4 linked regions of the Schizosaccharomyces pombe genome follow. Changing the gene in region 1 together with any one later gene gives a genetic interaction. Each region holds a gene or a part of one and is shown in the gene's direction. Other genes may lie near its edges.

Region 1 (7,718 bases):
GTGACAGATATCATCATTAAAGCGGTAGTTTCACAATCCAATTGTTGCGCTATAACTTGGAGATTGAATATTTTTTTTTTCAATTGCTATTACCATTAATTAATCATCATAGACAGCTCGCATGACTGGTTCAAAAAGTAAAAAATTGTATTATTCTACTTTGCGTTGAGTAGTTAACAGTTTTCCTTACTTGAAAAACATCGTTCTTTTCCAGTTAATTCAACATTACACGTTTATTCAAAGTTTCTATAACTTCTATAGTTTTGTTTACTTGGAAATACCGTATTTGACCAGGATACATAATTCGTATTGCGTAAAATTGATGGGCTTCGTTAATGTTTATGAATGAATTAACTAAAGCCGAGCATTAAATAAACTTGCACATGGTGATGTTTTAGACTGAACAATGCGCATATGAATGTGTTGTTTAACCACATTTAAATGAACAGAAAAAGAAAGCAAGCGTAAAGGTGACATCTTTTTTTAAAATTAGAAAAAAAATTAATGTCTTCAATTTTTCGTTATTGAATATATCACAGGTCATTTGACCAATCTTGGACTGTTTATACGAATTATGCAGAAAGTAATCAATTGCTAAAATAATCAATATGAAGCTTCCTAAAATTTTATATGACGCAGCTGCATTTGGAGGACCAAGATCCACGGGGTTTGTTAAGATATTAAACCTAAACGGTCGTTCTTCGTATAAGTCATCGTATCTTGTGAATCAGAATTTGATGGATGAAGCGCTTGTGAAAAGCAATCTGCTTAAGGAATACAACTCGGAGAAAATGACTATTTTAGAAATGGCACCGGGACCGGGAGTGACTACCACTTCGCTGTTCAATTACTTCCAACCTAAAAGTCACGTTGTGCTAGAATCACGGGAAGTTTTTTCCAAACCTTTACAAAAATTGTGTACGCTTTCTGATGGAAGGATTAAGTGGGTGCATCAAGATGGTTATTATTGGCAAACTTACGAAGATGTGTACGTTTCGAAGGTTTTGGATCCTCGTATTCAAACAGAAGAGGAGCAGAAGTTATCACCACATCGCGAACTTTTATTTTTTGCTCATCTTCCTCATGGTTATGCCGGGTTATTATTTGTTTCTCAAATTTTAGACTTTCTCTCGGCAAGGGATTGGCTTGGCATTTTTGGAAGAGTTCGTGTATTGCTATGGTTGCCCTGTTCTCCTACTGTTACTCTTCTTGGAAGTAGGGGATTTTCAAAAAGATCCAAGACATCAGTTTTCCGAGAGGCCTTTACAGACTCTCGTGTATTAGCTGCCTCCGAGTCAACATTGCAAAAATTATGTATGGGGTATAGTAAAGAGGCCAAGGAGAATTATCAAATTTCTCCAAATCCTTTATTAGTTTCACCCACGCCAATTACTAGTGAACCGCATAAAGAGGACCTTACTTTGGTTGAAATGTGCTCCAAACCACAAGATAAACAATTGTCTATTCCAGTGTTTGAAAGCATTGTTAGGATACTGTTGACATGTAAAGCAACATCACTTTCAAAATCCATTTATTATTTAGGCCCAGGTGCGGAAACTCTATTACCCTCCTTCACCCAATGTGGGATTAACATCGATATGCCCGTTGGACTATTGAGTGCAGCCGACTTTCTTACCATTTCAAAAATTATACAAAAATATCCTTTCAAACATCATTTACATTTGGGTACAATAATTGAAGATTCATAAAATTTACAGAAAATTGGGGGAAACAAACGTATTGATTGTTTTTGTTCATACACGCATTTCTTTGCATCCAGTAATTTTGGTTTTTTAAAACCACTCTCTTTTTTATCATTTCTCCACTTCATGTTCTACTCATTGCGTTCTGAGGCCACTGTATTTCATTTATTTGCCTGTGCCATATTCGCTACATCATTAAAGGATTTGTTTGCGTTGAGACACGCGTTCATTCTAATCACCATATTTAAAATAACTTATGCTTGCTTAATCTATTACTAATTTATTCAATTTAAGTGGATAGCTTCCGTTCAGGCTTGTTTTACGTTCTTTTATGTCTCTCATAGTCTCAGGTATCATTTTTTTTTTGGAAAGTGCATAAATGCAATATGGATTTAACTGAGCTATTTTAAATGGAAGTTTACATCTTTCAACTTTTTTAGATGTTAATTAATACAAATACCATAACTTCGAAAAACTATTATAATATTCTTTATTATACCATGCTGTTTATTAAATTGTTTACTGAATTAATGTTTCATTATTATGAGTTGCTTTAGCTTTCAAGGTAGTATTTAATAATCGTTCAGTAGAAAAGCGGATTATTCATTCCCAAACATAAAAAGGTAAATGGAACATACTAGATTAGTTTCTACCCGTATTTGGCATTCCAAAAATAATATGATGAGATCTCATCAGTTTAAAGTGCGCTAGACAATAAACTACCATTAGGCCACGCATATTATTTACTGTTAGCACTGCACACCAAGTAAACCAATTAATTCAAAACATGGGTTCAGTTCGCATTCGCTCTGTCATTAAAGAAGATCTTCCGACCGTTTATCAGTTTATTAAAGAATTGGCAGGTAAGCGCCGTTATGACCAAGAGGACGAAGTCGTGTAGATTCTATTAAAAGGCTAGAGCTTTTGCCAGTATCCCAGACTCACAGGGTCTGATTCTCTTATTGAATTGGAGATTACTCTTAAGCTTTTTATATGGATTTGAGAATATATGGTTTTCGTCAGCAGGGTCGATCTCTACTTCTGTCCGCATGCTATCAGATCAGTTTGTGTTACTATTTAAAAACCGGTTTTAACATTTTGTTTATGAAGAATTTGAAAAATGTGAAGATCAAGTGGAAGCGACAATTCCGAATTTAGAAGTTGCATTTGGATTTATTGACGAGGTTACTCCTGTGGCATATGGAGTATTCATCGAAGAAAATGATCAGGTTCGTAAAAAAAAGTAAACTTGCTTGATCTTTTTTACTAATCTATAATTGCCATCAGCCCGCAGGAATGGCTATATATTTCCTAAATTTTAGGTAGTGAAAAGTTCCGTTTTGAAATATATGAGCTGACGTTGAATAGCACGTGGACTAGCAGAGTGGGGATTTATTTAGTATGTTCTTATCATATTGTCCTTCATAACCTTTTTATTGAAGGATTAACTTTTGATTTCATAGCAAGATTTTAACCATTCAATTTCTTAGGAGGACTTATATGTTCGACCCCAATTCCGTGGAAAAGGATATGGAAGCTACTTACTGTCTTATTTAGCACGAGAATCACTTAGAATTGGTGGCAGACGTCTTGACTGGGTTGTAAGTTGTTTATAACCCATTTCTTTTTTTATACCTTGACTAATACCCTAGGTCCTTGATTGGAACCAGAGAGCCATTGAAGTCTATGAAAAGGCTGGAGCACAAAAAGTTGGAGGATGGAGTATGATGAGAGTCACCGGCGAGAACCTAAAGGCTCTTGCTGATAAACTTCCCGGCAACTTTTAAACTCATACCCAATACTTAACGCTCTAAAAAATTGAAGCATGATATGTTATACCTTTGAAACCTTGAACTGGAAAGAGGAAAATTAATTTTTTATGATTGAAAGATCCTGGATCTTGTAGTTTCGTTTTAAAGCGGTCATTTCAATGTCTTTAGGTTATTTCCCGTTTACCAAAAAATACGATATCAATTTACATCTTACATTTTTTAAAATTAAAAAATAAAGAATCCTTTTTTTTGCAAAGTAAATTATTAGAACTGGTATATTGTTCTAATGTTAATTCCTATAAAACTAATTTGATCGTTTTCCTTTCAATTCATCAAATCGGCTTCTTATTGTGTATTAAAAAATAGAAAGAAAGTATTGGTTAGTATTCTTGAATATCTTTTATTGTGTTTCTTTTTCGAAACGCGTCGCGCGCAATTGTAAACAAACCAACTACCTACAACAGTTTGCCTGTCAATGTTTCAAGGAAAGTGCGCCTTTTTTGATGAAACCGTACCTTCTGCATTAATTGCTTTATGGCGTAAGTTTTAAAGGTTTGATGTGCACTTGTTTGTTGTCGAATGATTTATGGTTCAGTTGTTCTTACTAAAGATAGAATTACACAACGGAGAAGCGAAATTTTTAGCAGAAGGTTATGAAAATTTTGATTATGCATTTTCAATGCATCTAAGAAAGCACGTCCGCTTGCCAAATTACAAATCAGTTCAATGTCGTTCTCCTTGGTGGATTGCGGAGCAAGTAGCTGTTTCCAGAAGGTATTTATTAAATTTACTAAATATTGCATTGATAGTTTATCTTATCATTTACCAAGGCAAGTACTAACCACCATTATTAGCAAAAGTTACGTTTCTGAACCTGTCATTCATTTGAACGTGATGGAACCTTTATATGTTGATCACAGAATACGTTCAGTGTATCTACAGCCTCTGCCATCCACGCTTTCTTTTCTAAACGGTGAATTACCTTGAAATGCTTTGGTGCTGATATGGCGTTGTTCCGATTGTAAATTCTATGCTAATTGTGAAAAATACCTTTCCTTTTTCTATCCTTTATAATTTAATGATCGTTCCTTTAGCTCTCAAAATCGTCAACTGAAGTTGTCACAACCTTCACTTAACCATACGTTACGAATATTAATTTAATGCCTATTTATGCTATTAGCCTAAGATTATTTTCGAATTTTACCTAATTTCTTTATTTATATCCCATAAAGACACTTACGTCTTTTCAATGGACAATTGAACAAGTATACATTGCATAAACATAAAAAACTTACTTCATCTAAGTCCGAGTTTAAAAACTGTTGTTTCCATTTATTATTTCTCATTTACGTTTCGTTTCTTTTTTATTCTCTATTTTTTAATTCTTTTTATAATAACTTTTTTTTTCTGGAATCGCTCACCATTCGGACTAATTTATCTACTTATTTGCATAGGAAACATGAGCAAGTCTACTTTTCATCAAACTTCCCCATCTTTTGTACAATACACTCATGCTACAGATAAACTAAAACCTGCACCTCATGGGATGAATACGCGGGGAAATAACTTATCCTCTATGTCAAAAAATACCGGACAAAGAAAACAGCGTTCCAAATCCATTCATGGACTTCCAGTTGCTCCCGTTTTTTATCCTGATAAAGAGGAATTTCAGGACTCTATCGGTTATATTAATAAGATAGCTCCAATCGGTGAAAAATATGGTATCATAAAAATCGTTCCTCCTGCTGGTTGGAATCCACCGATGCAACTTGACATGAACAAGTTTTCCTTCCGTACTCGGCGGCAGGATTTGCATATGATGGATCTTCGATTTCGTGAAATAGTCTCTTACGATGAACGCGTTTACCGTTTTTTTTGCAATCTGGGCATGGAGCTCCCGGAATCATTTTTTATTTCCAATACGTCTATCGACTTATACAGCTTAATGCGTTGTATTGATTCTCATGCATCTCTAAGTGAGAAGGAATTAAAAGTTCATGTATGGAAAAGGATTTTACGAGAACTTTCAATTCCTTTTACTAATGCATCATTAAAGGAAGCAAGTGACTTGTATTTAAGGTATATTTTTCCATTTGAGGATTTCGTCAGAAAATATCAGACCTCTGAGGATCAATGCTTTGAAACTGATCTCTTCCCTAAATTTTTTACAAAAGACGAACATTCTAATATTAGTATTAAAGATCAGAAGACATCTAAACAATTTAACCCCGAAACTAATGAGTCCGTAGGAATTCTTCAAAACCAAGAATCCAAGAGAAATGAGCAGATTAAACAACAATATATGCCAGCCGATAATTTTGGATCAAATGATAATCACTCACATAATAAAAAGCGACGATTGAGCTCTCTGTCAACGAATAACAACCACTTATGTGACAATTGTCACAAACCTGTCAATTGTGAAGTCGAAGATACGTGTAAAGAAGCGTATTGTACTAAATGTATAATTAATCCATATGAGTTTGGGTTTGAAACAGGGAATTATTATACTTTATCGAACTTTGAAAAATACTGTGACAATTTTAAGAAAAATTATTTTTCTAAATTTAAAGACTCGGAGATAACTGAGGATATTGTTGAAAAAGAGTATTGGAAACTCGTAAAAGACAATAATACAAGCCTTGAAGTGGAATACGGTGCAGATTTATCAACCCTTGATCAGGGCAGCGCCTTCCCTAGTTTAGCCAAAAATCCAGTGAATCCTTACTCTAAGGACACATGGAATTTAAATGTTATAGCATCCACAAATGGTTCTCTATTAAGCTATATAGATAATCCTGTTTCAGGTATAACCTGTCCGTGGCTGTACGTTGGAATGTGTTTTTCAACTTTTTGTTGGCATGTCGAGGATAACTATACTTATTCCGTAAATTATCAACATTATGGAGACACAAAATTATGGTATGGAATTCCAGGTGATCAAGCCGAGAGGTTTGAACGCGCCGCTCTTGATATTGCTCCTGATTTGGTAAAAAAACAAAAAGATCTGCTTTACCAATTAGCTACAATGATCAACCCTGATGAGCTACAAAAAAGAGGTGTCGATGTTTATTTCATCGACCAGGGGCCTAATGAATTCGTGATTACCTTTCCAAAAAGCTTTCACGCAGGAATTAATCATGGGTTTAACATTAATGAGGCAGTGAATTTTGCTCCCAAAGATTGGTTACTAAACGGATTCTCTTTGAATGGCGTTTTGAAATATCAGTCACTTCTTAAACCTCCTGTACTTTCACATGATATGTTGGTTTACAATTTAGCGACAAATCCGGCGTCAGAGATAAGTGTGTCTGAGCTAAGGCCTTGGGTGCATGAGGCTGTCAAACGTGAATTAGGTATACGTATCATGATACGAGGACGCTATGATTTAAAGGAAATACTTTATCGTGAATTAATGGAGGATGCCGAAAATTGGCAATGCCAGCATTGCAAAGCATTTTCATACTTCTCTCAAGTTGCTTGTTCTTGCAAGTCGATTACTGTATGTCCATTACACATCGAATATCTTTGCAAGTGCGATTTAAGCAATAAGACCTTACGCCTAAAAGTCGACGATAATGAGTTACAGAAGTTGCTAAGTTATTAAAGTTACATTTATTCTTTTCTAAAACAATTATTTTGCAATTTATAAACCTATATTTTCAAGGTCATTTACAAACATCGTTGGATTCATGTAATGTAAACAATTTGACTATAATCATAGTATTGTACGTTTAAGGAAGCGTAGTGTACTTGCTTATGTATGAAGCAGTTTCCAACCTGTGAAATTTACTTCTTGTACATTCTCACTTTGCATAACAAAATCAAACCCAATTTTTAAACATTTAGAGCTCTTCAGTTTTTTGAAGATAGAAGGGATAAATATGAAACGAACTGGTTCTGCGAGTTCAGTACCTCGATTTCAGCGATCGATGAGCTACGATCAATCTAATTCTCCTACAGCAGGAGCTCATGCAAAGGCAAATACGGCATCGCCTGCTGCTGAGCCTGCTCCCTCATCAAAAGAAAAAGAGAATTGGAATCGGCAAGAAGAAAATGATCTGGAAGAAGACGATAGGGATGACTTTGGTACAGCTGCTATTTCAAAAGTTGCTGGAAAACCTGGTGAAACGGACGACGAAGCTAATGAAAAATTGCGCACAAAATATCTTCTAGAGAGTTTTGATGAAGAGCAAATGCAAAGATACGAAGTGTTTCGTCGTGCTAACTTAAATAAAACCAA
Region 2 (8,718 bases), 2.5 Mb from region 1:
TATTTACTCCTTCCCTCTCTGTTTATCGACACTAGAAATATTTATGATGATATTTTCTTTGATTGTCGATTCGTTACTTGTGCTGACTTGATTTCAAAATGTGACAAAGCTGTTTGGATATACTGGCGTGTGAATAATATTCTCAAAAAAAAAAAAACATTCTAGAGATAACATGTAATTATTATATTTCCATTAATCTAATATTCATTACATAAATTCATCAAAACATTAAATGTACTTGACCGTACGACGTTGAATGTTCTAAATAATAAGACGGACATATGCAAGTAGTAAAGCTCCAGACCTTAAGCGAATACCGTTAGAAAATAAAAATTAGAAAGTTTAAAATTCTACAGTGAAAACATACCCTGTGACAATTCCAAATACCCATTGCAGAGTTTGTGTTTTAAAGCTAGCCAATTGTGTACGAAAATTTGACATTTCGGTGTCAATTTCCGCAGATAGTTCACGCAACTTTAGGTCCTGTGATGCTGTTTCGTCGTAATGGTTTAATCGATCTATATTTAACTGTAATCTGGCCTCTGAAGTGGAATTATTTAGTTGATCACGAAACGATGTTTTGAGTCTCTCAACGTCAGAAAATAGCTGCTCAACCTGCGAGTGCAAAGCGACCATTTCTTGACGCTCAATACTTTGTAATTCACTTCGAAGATGAGCGAAATCCACTTTTTGCTGGTACATTACACGGTCTTGCTGTTCTTTAGTAACCGAAAAATCACTAATCTTTTCATGCCTACAAAAGGTTAGGATTGCACTCAATGGGCAAATGCTATTGCACATACATGTCAGAATACACATTGGAAATTAACCGCATGAGTGTTTCAGATTTTTTATCATCTATTCCAGCTTCCTGCAATACACGAACGAACCTCAACGAATTAAAGCCGTGATATTTCCGATAGAAGCCATTAAGGCCTAAGGATCGTACTTTATGTACAGTTCTAGCTCGAAATAAAGGTTGGAACTGATGGTATATACTATTGCAAGGAATCTTTAGATACATTGGATCTTTCAACCTGTCCTTGAGTGGGTAGTAGGTGGGAGCAGAAATTAACGCGCAAAAGCAATAAGTAAAAAGAAAGTTATATCAAGTTTTGATCAAGGCAAGTATAAAAAAGAATGAATTAAAAATTAGACAACGTGAATTTGTTAGTCATTTCTCGAAGGGCTTCTGAGGTATACCTCGCATCGTTGCCGGCATTGTGAAGACAAAAAGCTCGGATGTTCAAGTGAGTGAGCATTTTAGCAAGAGAGATGTTGTTGGAATTTGAAATTTCTTTGAGGAATAAACTTTGAAAGAATGAGAAAACGTTCTGCGTATCAAGAACCGTGACATCCTTTGGAATAGGTATTCCAAGGACGTTTGCATACTTTATTTCGTTTTCCACTCCGTGTCCTACTAGATGTAGATTTGGTGTTTTCAAAATTTTTTTCAGAATACTTATAAACGCAATTTTTGTCACAATCTTGGAGTCACCAAATTGAAAGTTATCGGCTTCATCTGGAACAAATCGACCGTTGCGTAGATGTAGAAAATTCTTAATCCTGTAGTGGTGGTAGTCCCATTCTCCATTAATTCTCATCGTAATCCCAGCCTCAGTTATGATTTTCTGGTTGAATTCATATGCCTCAAAATCAATTACCAAAAAGTTACAACTTGGGTTGGAAACGGCTTGAAATGCTACAAGAGCTTCACCTTTGGCTCTAATTAATTTCTTTTCAGCTCTTTGAATTGCTGCACGTCGCTTCCGCTCTTTCCTTTCTGCTTTAACTTCTTCTGGCGTCAACTTGTAACGAATCCGTTTTTGCTCATGCCGAGAAACATTTACAGCTTTTTTTGCTTGCAATCTGTTCATCTCAGAGATAGATCTTAAAATAAACGGAAAGGGGAATTCGTATGAAAGCAAGTACTAGTGATAACTTAGAAGAGGTAAACAAGTAGCTTCTAACTTCTCTAGCAATGGCATGTGTAATTTCAAAGTATATACTAGCAAATAATCCCAAATCCTTATGTTGCAAAAAATAATTATCGTTAATTTACTATGATTACTTTTTCAATTTATAAATGGATTTTGTTTTGTTAAATATCAATTATTCTTTGTTTACAATCAGAAAGTGTGTTTAAAATATATATTCCACTGTCAAATATCTTCGTTCAGTCATTTCCATCTATTCAAAAATTACAAATATAAGACATATTTCAAATTACCTGAAAAAGGCTTCAATTTTTAAAGCTACGTGATTTTTTACATCAAAAAATATTATTGAATTTAACAGGTGACTCTATCACGGATTTCACTTTGTTAAACAGCTTTTAGGAGGTTAGCATTTGTTAAAAAAAATTTTATTTTATTTTATTTTTTTTTTATTTCTTATTAATTGACTGAAGAAATACTCCGTCTCTTAATTTGATTATGAAATTTTTTTTTATTTTTGGGTATGGTTTCTTTTTTTTCTTTAATTGCAATTACAAAAGTAATTAAAATTATGTTAGTCTTTATGACTTCTCAATTGCCATCCTTTAATAAATAGATTAGTATCAACTTTTGAACGAATCTAATATTACAATTGCAAGTTTAGATCGATTTACTAAGCTCTTTCAGTACGATACAAAAAAACAAAAAAGGAAGCAAGAAGTATACTAAAAACCATACACTTGCAGATATTTGGTTGAGGAAGATAGAAAGCTATGTTTTTTGGATGTATAGTTTATACGCCCTTTATCAATTTTGAAACTGTAGCTTAGTATAGAATGAAGTAGTGTAGATATTTGAGCGAACGTCAAGACTATCAATTTTATTGATTTCCATGAATGGTTTAGAATTTTGCATTTAGTATAAATTATTTCATTTATTTTGTTGCCCCTAATATATCTCCTAGTTGCGCTCAGTGAATTTAACAATTGCATGCCTTAACTCTACTACCACCTCCATATTTTCACAAAGTATGGATTTAAAACCAAATATTAGAAGAAAGGAAAAGCGAAATTTATTAAAGGGAGAAGCTGCTTTAGAAAAAAAAGGCTCTATTGATAGAAAGACAAAAAATAAAGCATATCCGTCTACTACTCACGATCCTCATCAAAATGATGATTCCAACATTCCTGGATTAGGAAGTGGACTATTGGAAAGGATCAAAGATATTGTTCAAAGGCCAACAGATACCCAATTAAAAGGTCAAGATTCGAACCATAAGAAAGCCAGCTTGACTGAAACGAAGACCGAGAAAGCCAAGGTTAAACCGAAGGCAAAGAAGAAAAACTCGAAGGAAAAAATCTCTAAAAGTTCTAAGCAGGATGAACATAAAACCGACGTGCATAAAGAAAGTGTCTCGAAACTTTCCAAGAATTTGGAGTCCAGAAATAATCGAGATGAAAATTCCGCGAAACGAGAAAAAAACAATTCTCATCAAGTTGAAGCAGATACGAATAACGCCACTGAGATGGTATCATCCAATGCGAAAAAGTCAGTATACCCGTTGTACTACGACTCTGCAACGGTTAAAAAAGGATTAAAAAGTGGTACATTATTTAAAGGAACGCTTCGTATTCTTGAAAATCATCGTAGCGCTTTTGCTTGTATGGAAGATATACCTGATTTTTATGTTGATGGGCCAATTGCTAGAAATCGTGCTTTTCACAACGACGTTGTAATTGTGGAACCTGTGATGAATAATGACAGCCCCACTGAAAAATCGAATTTTTTACAGAATGGTGTCGAGAAAGTCAAAATAAAAGATCATGACGATGAGTTAGGTGGAGCAATGGAGCATTTGGAAAGATTAGAAATTAAAAGTGTTGCAAGCTTCAAAGGTGATAGCAGAACGAGAGCTCGTGTTGTCGCCATTGAGAAGAGAGCGGAAATTTCTAAAATTGTAGGGATTTTAAGAGCACCAGGTTGGTCATTAAAAAATGTAGAATATGTTTCCAAAAAATCCTCGTACGCGATTTTCATTCCAAAAGATAAACGTCTGCCCTTTATCACAATTCACAAAAATGATTTAAGCGATTTAAGTGGTGAAAATTGGATTGAAAATATTTTGAAACACCACGATCAGTTGTTTTCAGTTGAGATTACAAGGTGGAGTATTTACTCTCGTTACCCTATGGGTGTATTAGGTGAAAAGCTGGGAAATATTACTGACGTGGAGGCTTACACTAATGCGCTTTTGCTAGAAAATGGAATTAGTAGCTCTCCCTTCTCTGATGAGGTTTTAAACTGCTTGCCTCCTGATGATTGGATTATCTCACATGAGGAAATAAAAAAACGAAGAGATTTAAGAAATGAGTTAATTATTACCATTGATCCTGAAACAGCTCGTGACTTGGATGATGCTGTTTCCTGTCGCGCTCTTGACAATGGCACTTATGAAGTGGGTGTCCACATCGCTGATGTTACTCATTTTGTAAAACCAGATTCAGCATTGGACAAAGAGGCAGCTTCGCGGGCTACAACAGTATACCTTGTGCAAAAGGCTATTCCGATGCTTCCTCCTCTGTTGTGTGAACGACTTTGTTCATTAAATCCCAACGTTGAGCGTCTTGCATTTAGCGTTTTTTGGAAACTCGACTCCAATGGTAAGGAAATTGGTAAGCGTTGGTTTGGCAAAACAGTTATAAAGACATGTGCCAGACTTGCCTACAGTGAGGCTCAAGGTGTGATCGAAGGAAAGTCCTGGGATGATGCTGTAGGCAAACCGATAGGAGGTACGCATACTCCAAAAGATGTTGAAACGTCTATATTAACACTTTGCGAAATTTCGAGAAAGCTTCGCAAAGATCGATTTGCTAAGGGCGCTGTAGAGATTAACTCGACAGAACTCAAATTCCAATTAGATGAATATGGAATGCCGAATAAATGCGAGGTATATGAGCAAACCGATGCAAATCATCTCATCGAAGAGTTTATGCTTCTCGCCAATAGATCTGTTGCTGAACATATCAGTAAAAATTTCTCCAATAATTCCTTGCTTCGTCGCCATGCAAGTCCTAAAGAGAAACAAATTAATGAGTTTTGTCACTTTCTAAAAAGCATGAACTTCGATTTCGATGCATCGTCTTCAGCTGCATTTAATGCCTCTATGGTACGACTCAGAAGCACTTTTAATGAAGAATTGGTAGAATTATTTGAAAATATGGCAGTTCGCTCGTTAAATCGTGCTGAATACTTTTGTACTGGCGATTTCGGTGAGAAAACAGACTGGCACCATTACGCTCTTTCATTTAATCATTATACCCATTTTACTTCTCCGATTAGAAGATACCCTGACATTATTGTTCATCGTTTATTGGAACGTAGCCTTAAGAACACATCCCCGGGTATTGACAAAAAAAATTGTTCGTTAGTGGCTGCACATTGTAATGAAAAGAAGGAGAAATCCACCACTGTGCAAGAAGATAGCCAGCAACTCTTTTTGTCTGTATATATTGCTGAGTATTGCAAAAAGCATGATAAGAAATCTATGCCAGTTCAAGCATTTGCGACTAGAATATCTGGAAATTCTATTGATGTCTATATCTCTGAATATGGAATATCCAACAGAGTAGACCTCAGTTCAGATGATAGAATTAAAAGTTTTATAGTTGCTCCCGATGACTCCTCTGTTAAAATTACGTTGTTTGATGATTCTCAAAAGACTATAGCTCTTACGGATCGTTTCCAAGTTTATTTATATTCTGATTACAGTCGTACATTTTTCAGTATTCGCTGTAGTCTAGTTTCTTTGAATTAAAGGCCTAGTGTTGTTTATGAATTTTTGACTGAAATATAACTTTGTTAATTTTGGGTCAGATTACCTTTTATTTATGATGCATGCCACCTATTGAATGGTTGTTCACGTTTATCCTACACATTTTAAAACGCTTATTATTATTACTATTATGTTTCATGGATTATGACAATTGAATGACTTTGTTATGCCCAGACGACTTATGTTTGATATATTTTTCTCATTCGTGAGAGAAACACAATTAAAATAAAAAATTTAACATCAATAAGAAATTTCTTTAGTTAACAAATTCACTTTGGCTGCAATTGTTGAATATTTTATTTATACCTATACATACAAGTAACAATAGACATTGTGACCTGAGTAAGGTACTCAGTTTTGTGCAGCAGCTTTTCCACTACTCATACCGAGGAGGATCTTGCCTCGATATGGATTTTTATAATCATGCTGCCAACATACTTTCAGATTTAAGTAAAAAAAAAGGATCAATTAAGCAATTAGCATTTAATTCAAAAAAACATGATCCAAAACGCACTTATGCTTTGGTTTGCGAAACTCTCAAATGTAAACAAGAATAGTAAAACTTTAATATAAACGATTTGACTAACTTTCTTCTTTTATATAGATAAACCTGTTTTGGATGAAATAATTGCGCGATCCGAGTTATTAGTTTTAGAGAAAAAGGTACAAATTAATGAAACGATAGTTGTTTCGTAATTTTTTGAAGCTAACCTGGTTATTGTAGTTAAAAGAAAATTTGGCTAGAGTCCTTGTCCATGATTTACTGATGTCAAAGCGAGGGTTATCCATTTCAAATGGTCCTATCAAGGAATGCATTCTTCGTCACAAGACACGCCTGAACGCCGAGTTTGTCAAACTCAAGGTGAAAAAAGGGGTTAAGAGCCATGAGGAGCTGGCATTGAAAAATCCTGTGTCGCTCCCTCGCTGGCTTCGAATAAATACCATTAAAAGCACAAAAGACGAGGTTTTGCAAGGTTTAGGCTTGGATAAAGTCAGTTCAATTGAGGAACTGGGCCCCGACAAATTTTATATTGATGATTGTGTTGAAAACTTAATAGCCATCGATCCATCATTTCCTATAGTTGAAAATTCATTGTACAAGGAGGGGAAAGTGATTATTCAGGACAAGGCATCTTGTTTTCCTGCTGCTGTATTGGCCGGGCTAACTGGTCACGTTGGTGATATAATAGATGGATGTGCTGCTCCAGGGAACAAAACTACTCATTTAGCTGCTTGTTTTCCAAAATCTCATATATTTGCATTTGAACGTGACGCGAAAAGAGTGCAGACACTTCGAAAAATGGTGGGAATATCAGGCGCTAATAATGTCACCATCGAACATCAAGATTTTACCCTAACTGATCCCAAGAGTGATCTTTACCGAAATGTCACTCATATCCTGCTTGATCCTTCTTGTTCTGGTTCTGGAATTGTGAGTCGTCAAGACTATCTGCTGGGTAATGAACAAGACGTTACGGAAGATACCGAAAGACTTGAAAATTTGTGTAGTTTTCAGTCTACCATTTTAAAGCATGCTTTACAATTTCCTAACTGCCGCCATGTCACATATTCTACATGTTCAGTGCACCGTTTAGAAAACGAACAAGTAGTATGTGAGGTTTTGTCGCAAGAACCTGACTGGAAATGTAACTCTTTGACAAAAACTCTACCCAACTGGAAAACTCGAGGAATTCCAGAGTATTGTGCTCAACCTTCAATGGCTGAAGGAATGATTCGGTGTAAACCAGGAGCCGGAGGTACTATTGGTTTTTTTGTAGCCAATTTGTATCACCCTCAAAGAGAGCAAGAAACTTTCAAAATGTATAAAAATGATGATGATACCAAAAAGCGTAAGCGCAAAAAGAAAAAGAAGGAAGTGAAGAAAAAGGCTCGCATACAAGGTGAAGAGTAAATTCATCAAAGCATTAAGACAAATTATCGCATAGCACTTATTCAACAAAGTGAGAGAAGCTATCGTTGTATGATCTCAATTTCTATAGACAATTTTTTGTGTTTTTGGAAAACACACATATTTAATTTTTTTTTCTTTACGGCTTTGGTTAAGGACTGGATACTAAAAAAAAATACACATCTTACGGGGACTAATCGGAAATGGATATTAAGTAGGCAAGATAAGTAATCATTAAATTTGAGCATTAACTAAATGAGCCTGAGGAAATGATGAAATTGTATTTAAAGGGATTACTAAGTCTTTTTCGCTAACCTAACAACTATATGGTAAGAGTAAGAACAACATTAGCATGTGAACAACTACGATTAGCCAAATCATTATCTTAACAATTTCAAAAACAGTAAGGCTTCTCAAACAATGTTGTATTGCTCAATCATGAAAAAAAGAAGAAACGACCGTTGTGTTTATACTTCCATGCACATCCTGCGAAGGTGAATCCCATCGCTATCGCACTGCCCAAGACCCGGTAGTGATGTGCATTGTTTCCAACCTCCATCGGTACTACACGGTTTAACTGCCAGTTGCCACGAAGACTACTCTTCGAACAGACGTGGCAGATCGAGGGATCGAAAGCGAGACTCGAACCCGAGACCACCGAACATGCACTATTGGGAGTACTAAACACTTCGACCAAGCCATTACAGCGAATACATATATGTATTAATAAATTATATAGAAAATAAATAAGTTAATTCGCATAAACAAAAGTTTCAACTTTTCATTGCAAACCCTTTAAAGCTTTTCATCGCGTGCACGCATATTATAAAAAAATATGATCTTATTTCTTTGTAAATAATAAAAATTCTCTCAGCTTTTATATAGTTGCGAAGAAGCATTTACTATTGCACAAATAGCCTTTCAAAATTCGAGTTGCCATGGTGTGAAAAACATGACCAACAGAGATTTTTGTATTAAGTTCATTGCTTATCCCTCTACCTTTCTTCAGAAATAACATTCACTCACATTCTGATAGTGCA
Region 3 (9,848 bases), on another chromosome or scaffold:
CATCTACAATGGTGTGAGGATGGAGAAAAGTTATATGTTGGAAGCAGATGCAGTGATAAGATTGAAGTTTGGGATATACGGTATGTGCGCGACATGGTATATGCTCTTGAAGGGCATCGTGGCGATACGAACCAAAGGATTCTTTTCGACACTGATAAAAAGGATGAAATTTTGGCAGGTGGGACGGATGGAAGTATTCGTAGATGGAGAAACAAGGATCTTGTGGAAGAAACGCATGTGACGGGAAATTACGATTTGACGGTAAACACAGTACAAGCGAACCCTATAAACATGCAGATAAAGTGTGTATGTTATGGAAATAGAATTTACAAGTATGAGAAGGATGAAAGTGAAGAAGAGGATGAAAGTAAAGAGAAGGATCTTTGGACAGGAACGGTTTCGGCTTTACAGGTTTGGATGGATTGAAAAAGCAAAATTTGGAATGAATGAATACTTGAAAAAATAAAAAATGGTGAGCTTGAAGGAAGAACTTTATGAGGATGATTTGATTATTAATAGAAAAACATTAGAAAACCGGTTCTAAATTGGTGTATTGGTGAATGGGTGTTTTTTTCGCAATCAGGAGGAGTCCTCAGACATGTTGAGGGGTTTCATTATTTAGATTATGATAAATTAAAAAATAAAAGAGATGAATTTTATGCAAATAGTTGATTATAAGAGCGCAACAATCTTTGTATTAATAAAACTACACATTCGCTTATTAAATAACCTTAAACTCGGTTATACATGGATTTCCAAGTGTCGCAAGTAGAGGAGAAATGGAGAAAATGGAAAGCAAAGAATGGATGAAAATTGTAAATCAGCAGTTTCGAACTTTTCAAAAATTTGTTAAAAATATTAATTTTTCAATTTAATTGAATTTTGTTTTACAAGGTGGATACTATGGAGGAAAAAACAAGATATGTATGGAAAAGGTAGCGATCGCAAAGGAAAAAAAATATTAGAAAAGGAAATGGAATGAAATTAATTGAACGAAATGAAAAGGACATGAAAATAAACAGAAGTATAGAACAAGAAAAAAAAAATTTTTTTTTAAAATAACATAAGGATGGAAGTGATCCGGAGTGAATAAATAGAGGGAAATGAAAAAAATAAATAAATAAAAAATAAATAATAAAATAAAAAATATTTATATACACATACATATAGATTGGAAAAAGATGAAAGAAAAAAAATGAACCAACCAATCTATCAATAAGTAAATCAATTAATCAATAAATATATAAAAATAAAAATTCTAAAACCAAGAAAAAAAAAAGAAAAAGAAAAAAGATTGAAATCTTATAAACAAATCCTTCTACGCTGCATACAAACACGTTACCACAGTCTGGAGTACTGTTGGAGAGTGAACCGAGACAGCCGCGGGGCGGTCCTTCGGCGAAACCAACGAGACGTTAAATATTTGCGATAATATTGTATAGTGCAAGTATGATAAAGACCGGTAACAAAAGTATAGCGGAAATTGAAAACCAAGTGCAAAATCTTCCAACGAGCAAAAGGTGTTACCCAAGCACGTCAGATGCATCAACCGAAGCAAAAATGTTTAAACGCAGATGAAAAGCTTATTGGAAGAAAAGTAAATTTAAGGCCAACGATTGGAGGAAGGAAAAAGTTTGATGGGGCAGATCCATTATGTTACACCTTGACTTTGTCGGCAATCAAGTCAAGTCAAGTGCCGAGGGCGCGCCAAGGTGGGTAAAGAAAGAGACAAGAGCAATACCGTGACGATCGGAAAAACCATTACCGAGAAATAAGGAAGGCCGGTAAATGGAATGAAACGTGGAGCGGCCAAAGGAAGAGAGAGAGAGAGAGTAGGAAAGAGTGAGCGAAGAAGGTGTCTGTCTGTAATAAGAGGAAGAAAAAGATGAGATGAAAGATGGATAGAGAGAGAATTGTAAGACATTGATAGAAACATTGATGGATTGGAAAAGAAAAAGAAGAAAAATCAAAAAGATGTTGGCAATTGTTTTGAATTCTAGTCAAAGAGTGAATGTTATATGTTTTTATGCTTAAAAAACAAAAAAACCATTCGAATGTAAGAAATGGTTTGAAGCAATATAGCCAGCGAATAAAAAATAAAAAATAAAAAATAAAAGGAAAAACCGTTCGATTCAAAGCAAAGTACAAACAAAGCCACAAAAGGATCTTACTAATAACGAATGCTACAAAAAACTAGACCAACTAACTAAACAAGTAGCAAAGGGATATAAAGAGGTACAGCGAAGTCACTGAAAAGATGAAGATAACGAGATATACAGATGTCATTAAAAGAGTGGTATAACGAAATATAGTGATATCACAAACCCACAGAATTTTAGGGCTGGTAAGAAAAGTAAAGAGAAGAAAAACAAAACAAAAGAATAAAAAAAACAAAAAAACAAACAAAAGGAAAGGCTGATGTGCATATAGTCTCAAAAGTCAATCGAGTTTAGTTTTACTTTTTCATGAGCATCTAGCATTTGCTCTTGTTTTGTGTTCGGCCGTCTGACTGTTTGGATGAGGAAGAAGAAAATTTTGTAGGGCGGCCGTGAAAGAAAAGGAAACAAAGGAAAAATTAAAAGAAAATAAATAAAATCGAATTAAATTAAATTAAATTAAATTAAATTAAACGAAATAAAATAAAATAAAATAATAATAAAAATAAAAATAAAATAAAATTGTAATTGTAATTGTAATTGCATTTGCTTTTGCTTTTGCTCTAGAAATGCTCCAATGTCTTTCCCTCGTACTAGTGTCATTGTCAGGATGCTGGATGGGCGAGATGACAAACGAGGAATAGTGTGTGCAATAAACAGGAGAGAGAAAGGCAAGTGAGAAGCAACAAGAGTTGAATCAAACTGAATTGAATTGAACCAAATTATTATTCTTCTTATAATCAAATTATTATTCCTCTTTAATCAAATCACTATTCCTCTTTAATCAAATCACTATTCCTCTTTAATTAAATTCCCATTCCTCTTGCTTACTGCCGCTCTTTTTTTCCCCCTCCCCTTGTTTAGATTTGGGTTGCTGAAATTTTCTTTTCTTTTTTTCATCCTCCTCCTCCTCCTCCTCCTTACTTTATTTTGTGTTTAACTTTTTTTCCCTTCTTTCCTTCAACTTTAATAAACCCGATCATTCCTTCCGATTGATCCTCTGCCAAATTTCCACCAAACGGTCGGATCCAAATTCAATGGAAAAGGAAGCGACTGGCGGTCGCACGAAGCAATGACCATGGCAGATGGATGAAATGATAACATCAACGGAATTAATTTCCTGACAAATGATGATACAAAGTATTGAATGAAACATGTCAATCATCATTTACTTATCTACATTTCCCACACTCTAGTGAATTTCATACTTTAGCTAATTTCAACACTTTAGCTCTAGCTACTCTTCCACCTCTTTAATTTTTTCTTTAGCTCTCTCCATCTCTCTATCTCTTATAACAATCTCTTTTTTTATACGTTATTCATCTTTAACCTCTCCCTTTCATCCCATCTCAATTCCTCCTTCGACTCTCAATCGCCCCCCATCTACCTTCTTTCGCTCTCCTTCTCCCCAACGAGGTCGCGTTCCTCTTCGCTATTCCCCTCTACTCCCCTCTCTCGCCCCACACACCGCCTGTCTCGCTCACTCAACTCCCTTTCGCCCTCCCCCACGTCATCCCCCCTGCTTGCTAGCGTTTAGCCTTTCGTTCTTCCTCTCAGCGTTTAGCGCGGTGCAACGGATTGTGGAGTCGCTCGCCGGAGGTAACACGTTGTAGCCGAACTAAAAGTGACATCATACTTCGGCACTTGCATGGGTGGGATTCCCGGAGATCGTGTGGATTTGCTAGCTCCTCCATCCAATGCGACTCGGCAGTTGATGTAGAGCGGCCATTCGAGATTACATGGGAGATGCTGTAGTAGACTGCGTGTTTCGTATACATATATTATATACACCTGCCGTGCACCGCAATACTTTTTGCCTTTTCCCATCCACTTTTTTTCATAGTATTGTTGAGAGCCACATTGATTGATTCCTTTTTATCAAGGAATTGAACCTGTTTCTCGTCGTCTTTTTTTTTTTTTTTTAAACTAGCAAATAAAAAAATTCATTGTAAGATTTGAATTATACTAAAAAGCTCTACTTCACTCCCCCGTCAGTCATAGTCCAACAACTTTGACTCAACAAAGCAAAAGCAAAAGCAAATCAAACCATACGATACGATACGAAAAACGAAAGTTTTTTTTGTCCATTGCATTGCTTTGATTCCCTTTGGTCTATCTGCCTTTGATTTCTTTTCTGGGTAAAACAGGAATTGAAAGAATTTTGAGAAAGTAAACGAAAAAATAAAGATTGAATAAAGCATAAAGATCTTATTTCCCATCAAAACATTGTTGTTATTGTTGTGATTTCTTCTGAAAAACAACAAATCAATTTCCAACTTTTCTATTCATTTACGCTTTTTTCCAATTCCCTTAATTTTCCATCCATCCATCCATCCTCATTGAGTCGAATTCTTTCTACTCAATTTGCCATTCGTCCCTTCACCCTTCCTATTCCACTCCCTTCTTTCCGGCTTCTTCCGTTTCGTTATTTGGTGTGATCGGTATCCCGAAAGTGAGTGAGTGAGTGAATTGTGTGATTCTCTTTCCCCCTTGGTATTCTTCCTTCAATCAACATTCTTTCGAATTCCCTTTTTGGGTTGATTTGTTCTTTGTTGTTGTTTTTTTTGTTTTGTTTTGTTTTTACGTACGTTCTATTTTCTATGAATACATAGAATTTCCTGTTTCGTAATCTCAATTCATTTCTCATTTTTCATACTTTATTTGAACCCAAGGTTTTCACACTTTTTCTTTATCTTCTCTTTTTTTTTATTTCCTTTGTGTGCTTTTCTTAAAGCCTCTTTTTTTTCCTCTTTGTGTGTCGTGATCGATCGGATCGTCTCGTCGGCTCACTTTACCTTGAATTTCTCCCTTTGGAAAATATCTACTGATATACCTATAAAAAGGTTCCCCATTCCCAATTAATTCCAGTATTGTTTTTTTTCCCTCTTCCTTATTTCCTTTTTTTTTTGTTCTTGAAATCTCTCATTCCTTTGTCGTTGCGCCAAAGAATTTTCCATAAACAATAACCAATTCGTTGTTGTCAGCGCTCGATTTCCCATCAAAAAAAAGTTATCTTCTTAGGAAATACTTATTTCTTTTCTCTCTTCAACCCTTTTCTTACTTGGAATTTATTTATTTATATATTTATTTATTCATTCTTCCCTTGTCATCCGTTGTTTTAAAAAAAACTCGCTTGACATTTCCTCAATTTCCCATCTCGTCTGACAGTATCTCCGTTACAAACTAATATCTGTCAAAAATCTTTGATTTTTCTCTACTTTCTCTTTGACGTGTTTGTTTATTTCTTGTGTTCCCATTCACTCCGTCTTGAGATTGCCTCTTTGAATCGTACTTTCTTACGCAATTGTTTTGTGTCGTACTTGAAAACTTGTATTGTTAAATAGTTTAACAACTACATTCCTTTGAGTTCATTCAAGTTTCTCTTTTGTATTTTCCTTGTTGTATTCTGAAGTTTTCTGTCTTTTTTCTTCCCTGTTTTTTACCTTTTTACCAAACCTTCCACTTGTTGTTTGGTTCATTGTAAAACACTTTTTTCTCTAATCTTACCGGTGGTTTGCTCTTCAGTGAACTAGAATATTTCTTTTGTTTCTTTATTTTACAATTGCACATGATTGCCGTTACGAACATGTCTGTCACCCCTCCCAATGTACAGTTTAACCTTAATGGGGATAGCGATCATAAATCAGACAATTCCAGTTCCTCACTGGAAAATAAACTTGACACTGAATTAAAAATAACGAGTCCTCCTCGTAACCCTCCTCAGCGTTTGCATCCTGTCGACTTTTCTGAGCACGCTGATACGGACGATGATATGAATCATCCTCTTCCCAGAGTTCAATCCCCCGTCCATATAAAGAATCACATTGACCCTAAACTTGCCGAGGATCGTTATCGTTCATCTGCTGCACGTCACTTCGAACCTATTTCCATTCCCCCTTCCGCTATCACCTCTGAGGATGAAGATGATTATCATGGCTCTGCTAATTCTTCTACCGTCCTTCCCCCTCGTACTGAAAATGCTTTACATGCTGCTAGTCCTAAACCTTCAGGTTCGACTGGTTACACCTCTCCTGCTCTTTCACAAAACAGCGGCAGTGGTGGTGAAGGCGAATCTGATGAAGGCTCTTTTAACACTCAGCATCATCGCTCCCCCATTTTTCAGGCATACCCTTCTTCAGAAGACCTTGTCGGCGATCCCAACGATCCTTATCGACGCACCCGCCGTGCTCCTATTAAGACAAATCCACATGATATCCCTTCACAGTTCATTTTCAGAAAGTTGGGTCTTCATCATGGAAAGCATGGTCATCATGGACACTCTGGTAGTTTATCGTTGAAATCTCTTGTTCCTAATCATCATGACAAGCATGATAAGCATGACAAGCACGAAAAACATCATAGTTCTTTAGATCTTCGTCGCTTTTTCAAATCCCATCAAAAGACAGACAAGGAGAAAAAGCCATCTGTTTCCAAGTCAAAATCTTCCGCTAACCTCCAAGATGATCATTTCGGTCTTTTCAAAAAATACGGAAAATTTGGAAGAATGCTTGGCTCTGGTGCAGGCGGTTCTGTCCGTATTATGAAGCGATCTTCTGATGGTAAAATTTTCGCCGTCAAAGAATTCCGTGCAAGAAGGCCTACTGAAACCGAGCGTGAATATGCCAGAAAGGTTACTGCTGAGTTTTGTATTGGTAGTGCTTTGCACCATACCAATATTATTGAGACCCTTGATATTGTTGAGGAAAATAAAAAATTCTATGAAGTTATGGAATATGCTCCATACGATATGTTTTCCATCGTAATGAGTGGTAAGATGACAATGCCTGAAGTTTATTGTTGTTTCAAACAACTTCTCTCAGGTGTTGCCTATTTACATTCGATGGGTTTGGCGCATCGAGACTTGAAACTCGATAATTTGGTTGTGGATAGTAATTGCTTTGTTAAAATCATTGATTTTGGTAGCGCTGTCGTTTTCAAATACCCCTTTGAAGCCGATATCGTTGAGGCCACTGGTGTTGTCGGTTCGGATCCATACCTTGCACCAGAAACCTTGGTCCGGAAACTATATGATCCTCGTGCAGTGGATATCTGGTCCTCCGCCATTATTTTCTGTTGTATGGCTCTTCGCCGCTTTCCTTGGAAATATCCCAAGCTTTCAGACAATTCTTTCCGTTTGTTTTGTATGAAACAGCCTTCAAATGATGCTGAGTCTCCCAGTGATATACTTGCTGACATAAAAAAACAGCGCTTAGTCGAGCAAGGATGCGAACCTATTAGAAAAACCGATGAATCACATAGTCCAAACTCTAAAACTGATAACTCTTCAACTCATAAACAAGAGTTGTATGGACCCTGGAGACTTTTGCGCCTACTACCAAGAGAAACTCGTGCTGTTATAGCTCATATGTTGGAGTTGGATCCTGTTAAGCGTTACGACATTCACAGGGTCTTTGCAGACAATTGGATTAATGATATTTCGATGTGCCATATGGAAAATGGTAAAGTTATTCATTCTCCAACACATGTCCATAATTTGGTGGCTTCAGAAGAGTCACCTGCTCCACCTGCAAAGCATTAAAAACTTATATTGTCTTTCCCACGTTTGTTTACAAAGTCGCCTTGGATATTGGTGATCTGTTAAACGATACCAAAAAATGAATAATGTGGTGGCTTGTTAATGAGCTAATCTCTTAATCGTTGACGGTGTAACTTAGTTTTCTTTTCAGACTTTTTTTATGTTAAAAAATACTTTATTCTTTGATTATTAGGGACATTTCAATTTCTTACTATAATCTCCTCTATTTAATAGTCAGTCCCTTTTTTATCAGCTCAACTTTATGATTGTTGGTGATTTTTTTTTTCTTTCTTTGGTTATTATATTATTATTATTGTCTTTGTGAGGTTAGCTTGTTTATGAGTTATTTATATGGTAAATAGGGGAAATCTACTGTGGTAGATTAAAAATATCTCTACAATTTTGAAAATAAATGTAAAATTGTCGCATCTTTGAATTTGGTTTTCATTTTTTAGTAAGTTTAGATAATACAATACAATTCATTAGTCTCAAAATTTTCAAAGATCGTGTTTGAATATGATATTTTGTCCTTTTCAACCGTTGTCAAAGTTGTTGCAAATATTGAATATATGCAGTGTTTACTTCAACTGTATAATAATGGTAAAACACGTGTTCAAAAAATAAATGCCTAGGCATCCATGTGCCCTGAAGCAGCTAGTTTTTAAGCACTAGAGACAATTTCTTAAAGAAGTAGAACATATCTCATGCAAAGTTTTCGAAATCAAATTTAAGGAAGACGACATGAATACAACGGAATGTGTGTGCTATGTTCTAGCATCGCTGACAGGACAAATATATTTTAAACAAATATCCTATTTTCTATAGGAAAAGTAAAGAAATGTAAAAAAACAGTTAGATTTGTGTTTTATTAGGAAATACAAAATATTTATAGGATGGGTTCACGAACAAAAGGAAGAGATCCACTTTTTTCTCAAACAATAGATCTTAATGAGGTATATGTGTTATTAACGAAAGGGCTGAACAAGAATAAGGAGGGTTCATCTTGGATTAATTGCCAAATGCATAAATCAAATTAAACACATTACTCATAAACTAATGACTTAGTTAGCGTGTAATTGTTTCAATGCGAGATCTGACTATTCAAACAAAATAAAATAGCAACGATCGAGCAAGTTTCTTACCATATACTAAACTGTAGAACAATGTCCAAGTTAAAACATAAGAAGGTGCGCCATCTAATATTTTAGCGATCCAAAACTTATATCCGGGCTGGTAATACTTAGTTAAGTTACCACGCATTTTCAATGCAAAGAGTAGAAAGGAGACGAAGAAGTAACCGAGTACATACAGAGCAAGCCCTTCATATGAAGTTAAACCCAAAATACCAGCTGCGCACCCGAAAAAACTAGAAGTCAAGTTTCGAACAAAAGAAACGACCTTTGGATTCATTAGCACTCAATTATAAAATCCTTAAAAAAACTAGTACCAAGAAAATCTAGCTCTGCAATCATTTCTTACCTGTTCATTATATGCAACATTTTCTACAACAATTGGAGCGACGCCTTTATCCCTTTCCATATTAGCTTATGAACAATTCTGATGTTTAGTTGAGTTCACCGCTTGTAGAATTATAACCAAAAAATGATGGATAACGCATCTTTATACTGCGGTATTAACTACATAAGGACTTAGTAGGAACGTAATTTTTTCGCAGCTTGACGTATCCTTAAAAGCATTTTGCAAACTGCGTAATTGCCAATCTTTCATGTAAAGCTACAAGCGATATGGATATGGGAAAAAGCATTACTTTTTGCTTGGGCTGAATGTTGGCTAGTTTGGAGGGTGAAATAGTTTATTCAATACAATTGAGTACTTTATTTTTTTCCATTTGATTTTTTTGAACAGAAATGGGCTAATTACTAGGATATTGGGAAATCGCATTGTTTAAAAGAGGTTCTCGTTTTACATCAAGGTCGATTTTTCATATTTATTTGTTTTAGAAAAAAGTATCATCTTATATTTCCTGTATTACTGGTTTTCTAATTCTAAAACTTGAAAATGGTGGATGAAACGTTACATACTAGATTGTTTACAGTATACCGAAAGGATTAGAGACTCGTGAACATTCGTAAAAGCGACATGCTTATACTTCCAAGAGAACGAAAAGCGAATTTCATTTCTTATTTACAATAGAA
Region 4 (5,997 bases), on another chromosome or scaffold:
TACTGCTTGAAGAATTTGCTTTAGATAACAACATTTGTCTTCTAAGGTCAAAACTTTTTCTTCAATTTGCTTAAATAAATCGCCTTGAGGACAGTACTCTTGAACCAAACAAAACCCAGCGGATTTATTAAATACGCTTGTCAAAGTCACACAAGGGCAGATAACTTTCAGAATATTAGGATGGTCCAATTTTGGTTGGATTGACCATTCCCTTAAAAAATAAACCATTGTATTCAATCTTTTTTTATGCGATGTTTTCGTTTTCCGATATACTTTGGCAGCATAGTATATCTTTGCGTCGGTGATTTTATCTCTGTGAGTTACAACCTTGATTGTAGAGGTGGCCCCTTTAGCTATTGATTTTAGATGCTGAAAGTCTAAGCGAAATCTTATTTCGGGTAATATACGCTTCAGTGAAGGATCTAATCCAATTGCGAAGTCAGACATTCCAATAAACGAAGGTTGAATTGAATGAACGGAAAGTAAGCTAGTATTACTGTCTAAGTATTCATTTTCTAACCATGGTGCAGTAATTGTACTTGGCTTTATAACGACGGAAGACTTCTTGGTTGTTGATTTAGAAACATTTATTGAAAAAAATTGGAAGAACTCTTTAGGAAATCTCCCAAAAATATTTTCAATCGAAAGACTATTCTTATTCTCTGAATTCCTTTGAATTGCTGAATTGTCCACGAAAATTGTCCCCTGGCGAAAAAAAGGATAATTAGTCATTAGTGACAAGCCGCTGAAGCTAAGAAGCCTAGTTACGACTTCAAATTGATTGATTTTTTATGTACTTCTTCTTTATTTTCTTACTAAAAAAAGAGTGTTTTCAGAACAACCTCATCATTTATTCTGTTTAGATAAAGAGTTACGTGTTAGCAACCTCAAAATTGCATAGTTGTAATCATAACGTCTTTGAAAGAAACGAAATTTCCAAAATCATATGCTCACGAATGCCTAAATCGATGAACGACCGTTTACGCATCTACGACTCAACCTGAAAGACGTAATGATGAGCATTGGATTGATTCGACTCATTACTCAGTAATCAACAGTTAAATGAATTTGTAAATTAATATTTTATTTAAAAATACCAAACGAGACGTTCGGCAGCCCTCAGTTAACTCATCGTTTCAAGTAGGTCATAACAATGCACGTGTGGGTGCGGTAATCTAGTAGTCTAATGAATGCTTATGTTAAGGACATAGGTAGAGAAGTAGGTGTATGATTAAGCAATTAAAAAGAAATCAAAAGACTTTTCATGAACTTATACTAAATTATTCTTTTGATTGTTTATAATTTGCACTCTCAAATGTTTAATTTAGCGATAGAAAGGGAGGTTTTCGTAACGCTCATGAGACAAATCATCCATTTTCTTCATCTCCAATTCCTTTGTCGTATTGTTGGGTAGACTGTTTCGACTTGATGTAGTTCTGTGAGGAAATTCCTTTGGCGATATTACTTCTAATCCAATTTGTTCACAGTTTAATTGATTAGTTTTAGTTTTAGTATTTCCATAAGAATCGCATTTAAGACTGCTGGTGTTGTCAACTTTGATGGAGTTAATTTTCTTTAACTCCTCAGATTTTGTAGAATCGGAGACTGCGTTCATTAGCACGAAAATGAGAGAATGCATATACTTACCATTAGTTCGCATTTCTGATTGATCAATCGAAGATCGAGTCTCCGTTCTCTCAGAACCATTTACACTTCTTTTATCTTCATTTGCAACTATGGAATTTTGCTTTTGCAATGACCTAACTTATTAGCTCGCTTATGCATAGTTAATTTCTTACAATGATGTGTTCGAAGGTGAGTCGTTGGACAGTTTTTCTGTACGATAATTCTCATAATAGGTTTGTTTAGTTATACTTTTGAGTATATCCAAATGAGAAATAAACAATACGGTCTTCAAGTTAAGAAAATCAGAATGTGCAGGATCATCAATTACGAATGTTCCCCATTGGAATTTCTTGACGATTCTTTGATATCCTTCTTCATCTTCCTCTGATACCCCTCCAGATACAGCGAATGGAACACTTTCCCAAAGTCGTTTGTTATCCTCAATGACTTCGTCTTCATCCTCCTCAGGATCCCAAGGAAAGTCAAATACCTTTATGTTACATTGTTTCAAATCCTTCATTATCACATCTTTGAAGTTCTTTAATTCTTCTTCAGTAAAAGCGTTGGAGTTTCCAATGACAGGAATTACGTTTACGCGCTTTGAAAACCGTTTCATGGCTTCCAAATCAAACTCAGACAGGCAATGTCCACGGGGTGCAATAAAATAAAGTAGGGCATCAACGCGCTAAAATATCGTTAGAAAACTTTTTTTTCATTCCTCATTCTTAAACCAATGTGTTCTCTTGGTTTTCTACTTAACAACATTAAATCAAGTAATGGAAGTAACTTGATTGAAATAGTTAAGGACGGAAAAACTTTGTTTGCAGATTTCGTACCGTATCAGTAAATTTAGAATTTCTTTTGATTTTAGATTCTTCTATCAAGGCTTGATCGAATTGGCTTTCCAAATAATGAGTAACTACCTCGAAACTAATGCATTGAAATTAGCTTTAATTTAGAAAAATACCTTTTGGTATTACCTAGCTGAATTATCAATTTTATCTCCGAAACCATTTACTTCAATGACCGTAAGGTCAACATGGAACTCATCTTCTAAAATATCTAATTACAGTTAGCACACGAAAATTAAAACCGTAATAACTCACCAGCATTAAATTCCCTTATTTCCAGTATTCTATCAATATGAGCTTTTAGCGGATCTATCTCTGTTTCAGCTTCCAGTATTTGTTTACTGCACAAGCTATTGATACAAGCTTGGTAACTGGTGTAGCTAGATCCTGCTACCATTATGCGAAGCTTTTTTCCCTTTTTTGATAAGAATTTTGGACGATGTCTTGGGCCTTTATTCATCTTGAAGTGTTTGCTGTTGGAAGAACTTGGGTTTGTTTGTTTACTGCTTAATAAAGGCACCGATACGTTGGCAGTATATCCATTTCGCAAACAAGGAAAATCCAGAAGATTTCTTTATACAAAACTTTTCAATAGTACTTTTAAATATAGTTTATATTTTTTCTTCCAGTATTCTTCTCTAAATCATTTTGTGCCTTAATCATCTTCGCATTGTCCAAAATTTAAGTAATTTAACCTTTGACCTTTAACGAGCCCTCTGTTCATTTACTGAGTTAAAATAAGGCGCTGATATTTTGCATTAATTCATGAGACTTTCGAGTTTATTTAAGCGACAGCAATTGTTAAAGGAATCATAATCATGAAAACCCAATTCCCATGCTTATTTTGCATCTACCACACAAATTTTGAATGATTGCAACAGTTGTACCTTTCGTTGCTACATATAACTTCGTAAACATAATGATGCTGGTAGATTTTACATAACGATGTTCGTTAATGTTTTAATGTTATGATATGCTTGTTGTGATTTGCGCCATAGCCCATATAAACGGCTTTGAGCAAATTTCATAATAAATTGAATTGTTCCTAAAACTCGGTTTATTTGCAAAGCCTAATACATAACTTGAGTTACACCTTCCTCAAAAATTGAAGTTTTTTTTTAGCGCAACAAAATTCTACTTTTTAAAAAGTGAAATCTTTAACTCTAGAGTATTGTATAAAAATCGAATGTTAGTAAAATAAACGTAACAGAACACAAGTAAAAGTTACAGCCTGCGAGTTTGCACGACTCTCCACTGTGTGCACCGCAAACCATCAAACGTTAGCTCTTTAACGTAGCGTACAAACTCGTAATCTTGAAATTCCGGTTTATGAAGTCGGTAATTAAATATACATTAATCAAATCTAGCTTCATTTTTTAGGCTCGTAAAAGAATTTGATTTGCTTAGCCAAAAACGAGCACATATTTAATAAAATTACAAAGTAATCAACCGATTACGAAAAGCGTGAGTTGAGCTGCAGGTTTAAGAATGCATCAAGTAAAACTCGAAGAGGCCGAGTACGAGTGGGATCAAACAATAGCCGATGTTGATATTGTCATCCATGTACCCAAAGGGACAAGAGCGAAATCCCTCCAGGTAGATATGTCAAATCACGATCTCAAAATTCAAATCAACGTCCCAGAACGAAAAGTCCTTCTCAGTGGTCCACTCGAAAAACAGATCAATTTAGATGAAAGCACCTGGACTGTCGAAGAACAAGAAAGGCTTGTTATCCATCTCGAGAAATCCAATAAAATGGAATGGTGGTCGTGTGTTATAAAAGGGCATCCCTCAATCGATATAGGCTCAATTGAGCCCGAAAATTCAAAATTATCTGATCTAGATGAAGAAACAAGAGCTACAGTTGAAAAAATGATGTTGGAGCAAAGCCAAAAGCGTACCGATGAACAAAAACGAAAAGATGTACTGCAAAATTTCATGAAACAACATCCTGAACTAGATTTTTCAAATGTTAGAGACCAGATTTGAATAGTTTCATGATTTTATATATGTATAATTACAATTGTTACAAAACTTTCTAAGCTCTATTGATAAAAATGTAGAAATTTCTGGTATTTGTAAAACTGATAGTACAAAGAAGGTATAAACAGCAAATCGGCATTCTTTTAAACTAGAAATAAATCGAGAAAGTCTTGGATAAAGAGCGAGTTAGTATAATAATATTAATAAATGGGTCATTAGCTAGCCAGCAATAACTTATGCATGATTATATACAACGACATGATGGGTGCATTGACAACAAAAACAAACCTAACTTCGGAACGGATTTTTAGACTCCGTCGAAATTGAATTTCTCGCTAAATCAGTTGGTTCAGCCAATTCCCTCGTTGAAAAGGGGTTTTTAGATGCGGTGTACGGTGTAGACATCGGCCTTTCAGGAACATCCAACTTTTGTCCAATATTAACTGGGGAAGCCGAATGGCCATGCGTGAACCCATTAGGAGAATGTTGAATAAATCCAGGAGACCCTTCAGGATACATAATGTGAGCAGGGGACGGTAGCGGACCCCTTGAGTCTTCCATGGCAGGAATCATAACAGGATACTGCTGATTCAATACAGGAATATTTGGCTGTAACGGTATGGTAGTCGGTTGTTGCTGCTCAAACTGCATTCCTTGATAAGAGGGTTGCCTTAAAAAGTTTTGAAAAGGATTGGTTGTTGAAGGATTTACAGGATTATTTTGAGCATACATGTTAACTTGGGAAATATTCAAAGCAGTGTTTGGAGAAGCTCCAGTTTGTTGCATCCCATTCATTGTATATTGTATGTTTGCCATCTGATTTCCAGCCATCTGGGACAAGAGTTGAACTTGCTGTAATTGAGGGGGGATTGGTTGTGGGTGATAAGTTGGTGAAGAGCTGTTGTAAAAAGGGTTGAGAGAGTCATTCGGGTGACTCGGAATAGGCTGCACTATATTAGTACTTTCAGATTTTTTATCTAATGAAGGTGAAGCACTCGTTCCTTCAGCGCTCAAATTGTTTCGCTCCCTAAGCATTTCATCGACGAATGAAGAAGCAACGCCTAAAGAAAGAGAGAGATCGCCAACCTTGTCTTCAAGCTCGTTTTCCGATTCATAATTTGGTACTTCTTCTTCCTCCTCTTCCTCTTCTCCTTCCATCTCTTCTTCTTTTATTTCTTCTTCTTGTGTTTCTATACGGCTAGTGGTTCTCTGGGTTTCCGGTAAACTTTTTACAGCTTCCTCTTCAGAAGACGAAGCTTCTTGTTGAACAGTGTTTTCTTTCTGTATAGTTGAAGAACTTTCATTTTGCTTTTTGGGGATGCTTTTCTTCTTTCTCAAAGTTGGCTTTCTATTTAGAATAGCGGTTTCTTCAACAGGCGATCCTGACTTATTCTGAAGATACTGTTTACGATTTTCTTCAAAATCCGGATCATTGAGGTATTCTTCCAAAGATGCAGTTAAGCTTATAGGTGCATGTTTAATATTTGGAACAGGAAACTTTGTAACAAATTCTAAAGATCGTGCCGTACTCAGATAA

The links.
Region 2: mutations in jmj2 (region 1) and dis32 together harm fitness less than expected from each alone (positive genetic interaction), as found in Schizosaccharomyces pombe (one large-scale study listed by BioGRID).
Region 3: mutations in jmj2 (region 1) and oca2 together harm fitness less than expected from each alone (positive genetic interaction), as found in Schizosaccharomyces pombe (one large-scale study listed by BioGRID).
Region 4: mutations in jmj2 (region 1) and nud3 together harm fitness less than expected from each alone (positive genetic interaction), as found in Schizosaccharomyces pombe (one large-scale study listed by BioGRID).

The regions. Positions count from the first base shown.
Region 1 is NC_003424.3:1,804,014-1,811,731, reverse strand, and holds jmj2 (histone demethylase Jmj2), read left to right. Parts: upstream 1-4,934; coding exon 4,935-7,082; 3' UTR 7,083-7,184; downstream 7,185-7,718. Other genes in the region: RNA polymerase-specificity factor Mtf1, read left to right, coding at 609-1,709; SPOM_SPAC1002.07C (N-acetyltransferase Ats1), read left to right, coding at 2,491-2,566, 2,814-2,932, 2,991-3,025, 3,072-3,102, 3,194-3,304, 3,356-3,490; bouquet formation protein Bqt2, read left to right, coding at 3,951-4,014, 4,090-4,249, 4,330-4,462; transcription factor TFIID complex subunit Taf11, read left to right, coding at 7,360-7,718.
Region 2 is NC_003424.3:4,268,330-4,277,047, reverse strand, and holds dis32 (3'-5'-exoribonuclease Dis32), read left to right. Parts: upstream 1-2,918; 5' UTR 2,919-2,967; coding exon 2,968-5,751; 3' UTR 5,752-6,156; downstream 6,157-8,718. Other genes in the region: SPOM_SPAC2C4.09 (uncharacterized protein), read right to left, coding at 262-304, 368-754, 804-1,024; SPOM_SPAC2C4.08 (uncharacterized protein), read right to left, coding at 1,146-1,877; rcm1 (rRNA methyltransferase), read left to right, coding at 6,177-6,312, 6,374-6,432, 6,494-7,681. UniProt on the Schizosaccharomyces pombe protein: 3'-5'-exoribonuclease that specifically recognizes RNAs polyuridylated at their 3' end and mediates their degradation.
Region 3 is NC_003421.2:756,748-766,595, reverse strand, and holds oca2 (serine/threonine protein kinase Oca2), read left to right. Parts: upstream 1-3,971; 5' UTR 3,972-5,742; coding exon 5,743-7,695; 3' UTR 7,696-8,228; downstream 8,229-9,848. Other genes in the region: heterotrimeric G protein beta subunit Gnr1 , read left to right, coding at 1-426; protein Emc6, read right to left, coding at 8,735-8,745, 8,835-9,090, 9,172-9,231. UniProt on the Schizosaccharomyces pombe protein: Overexpression causes cell cycle arrest.
Region 4 is NC_003423.3:3,227,556-3,233,552, forward strand, and holds nud3 (nuclear movement protein nudc), read left to right. Parts: upstream 1-3,836; 5' UTR 3,837-3,965; coding exon 3,966-4,466; 3' UTR 4,467-4,525; downstream 4,526-5,997. Other genes in the region: serine/threonine protein kinase Ppk24, read right to left, coding at 1-732; meiotic septin Spn7, read right to left, coding at 1,325-1,605, 1,648-1,760, 1,800-2,311, 2,463-2,556, 2,607-2,688, 2,733-2,937; yap18 (ENTH/VHS domain protein), read right to left, coding at 4,749-5,997.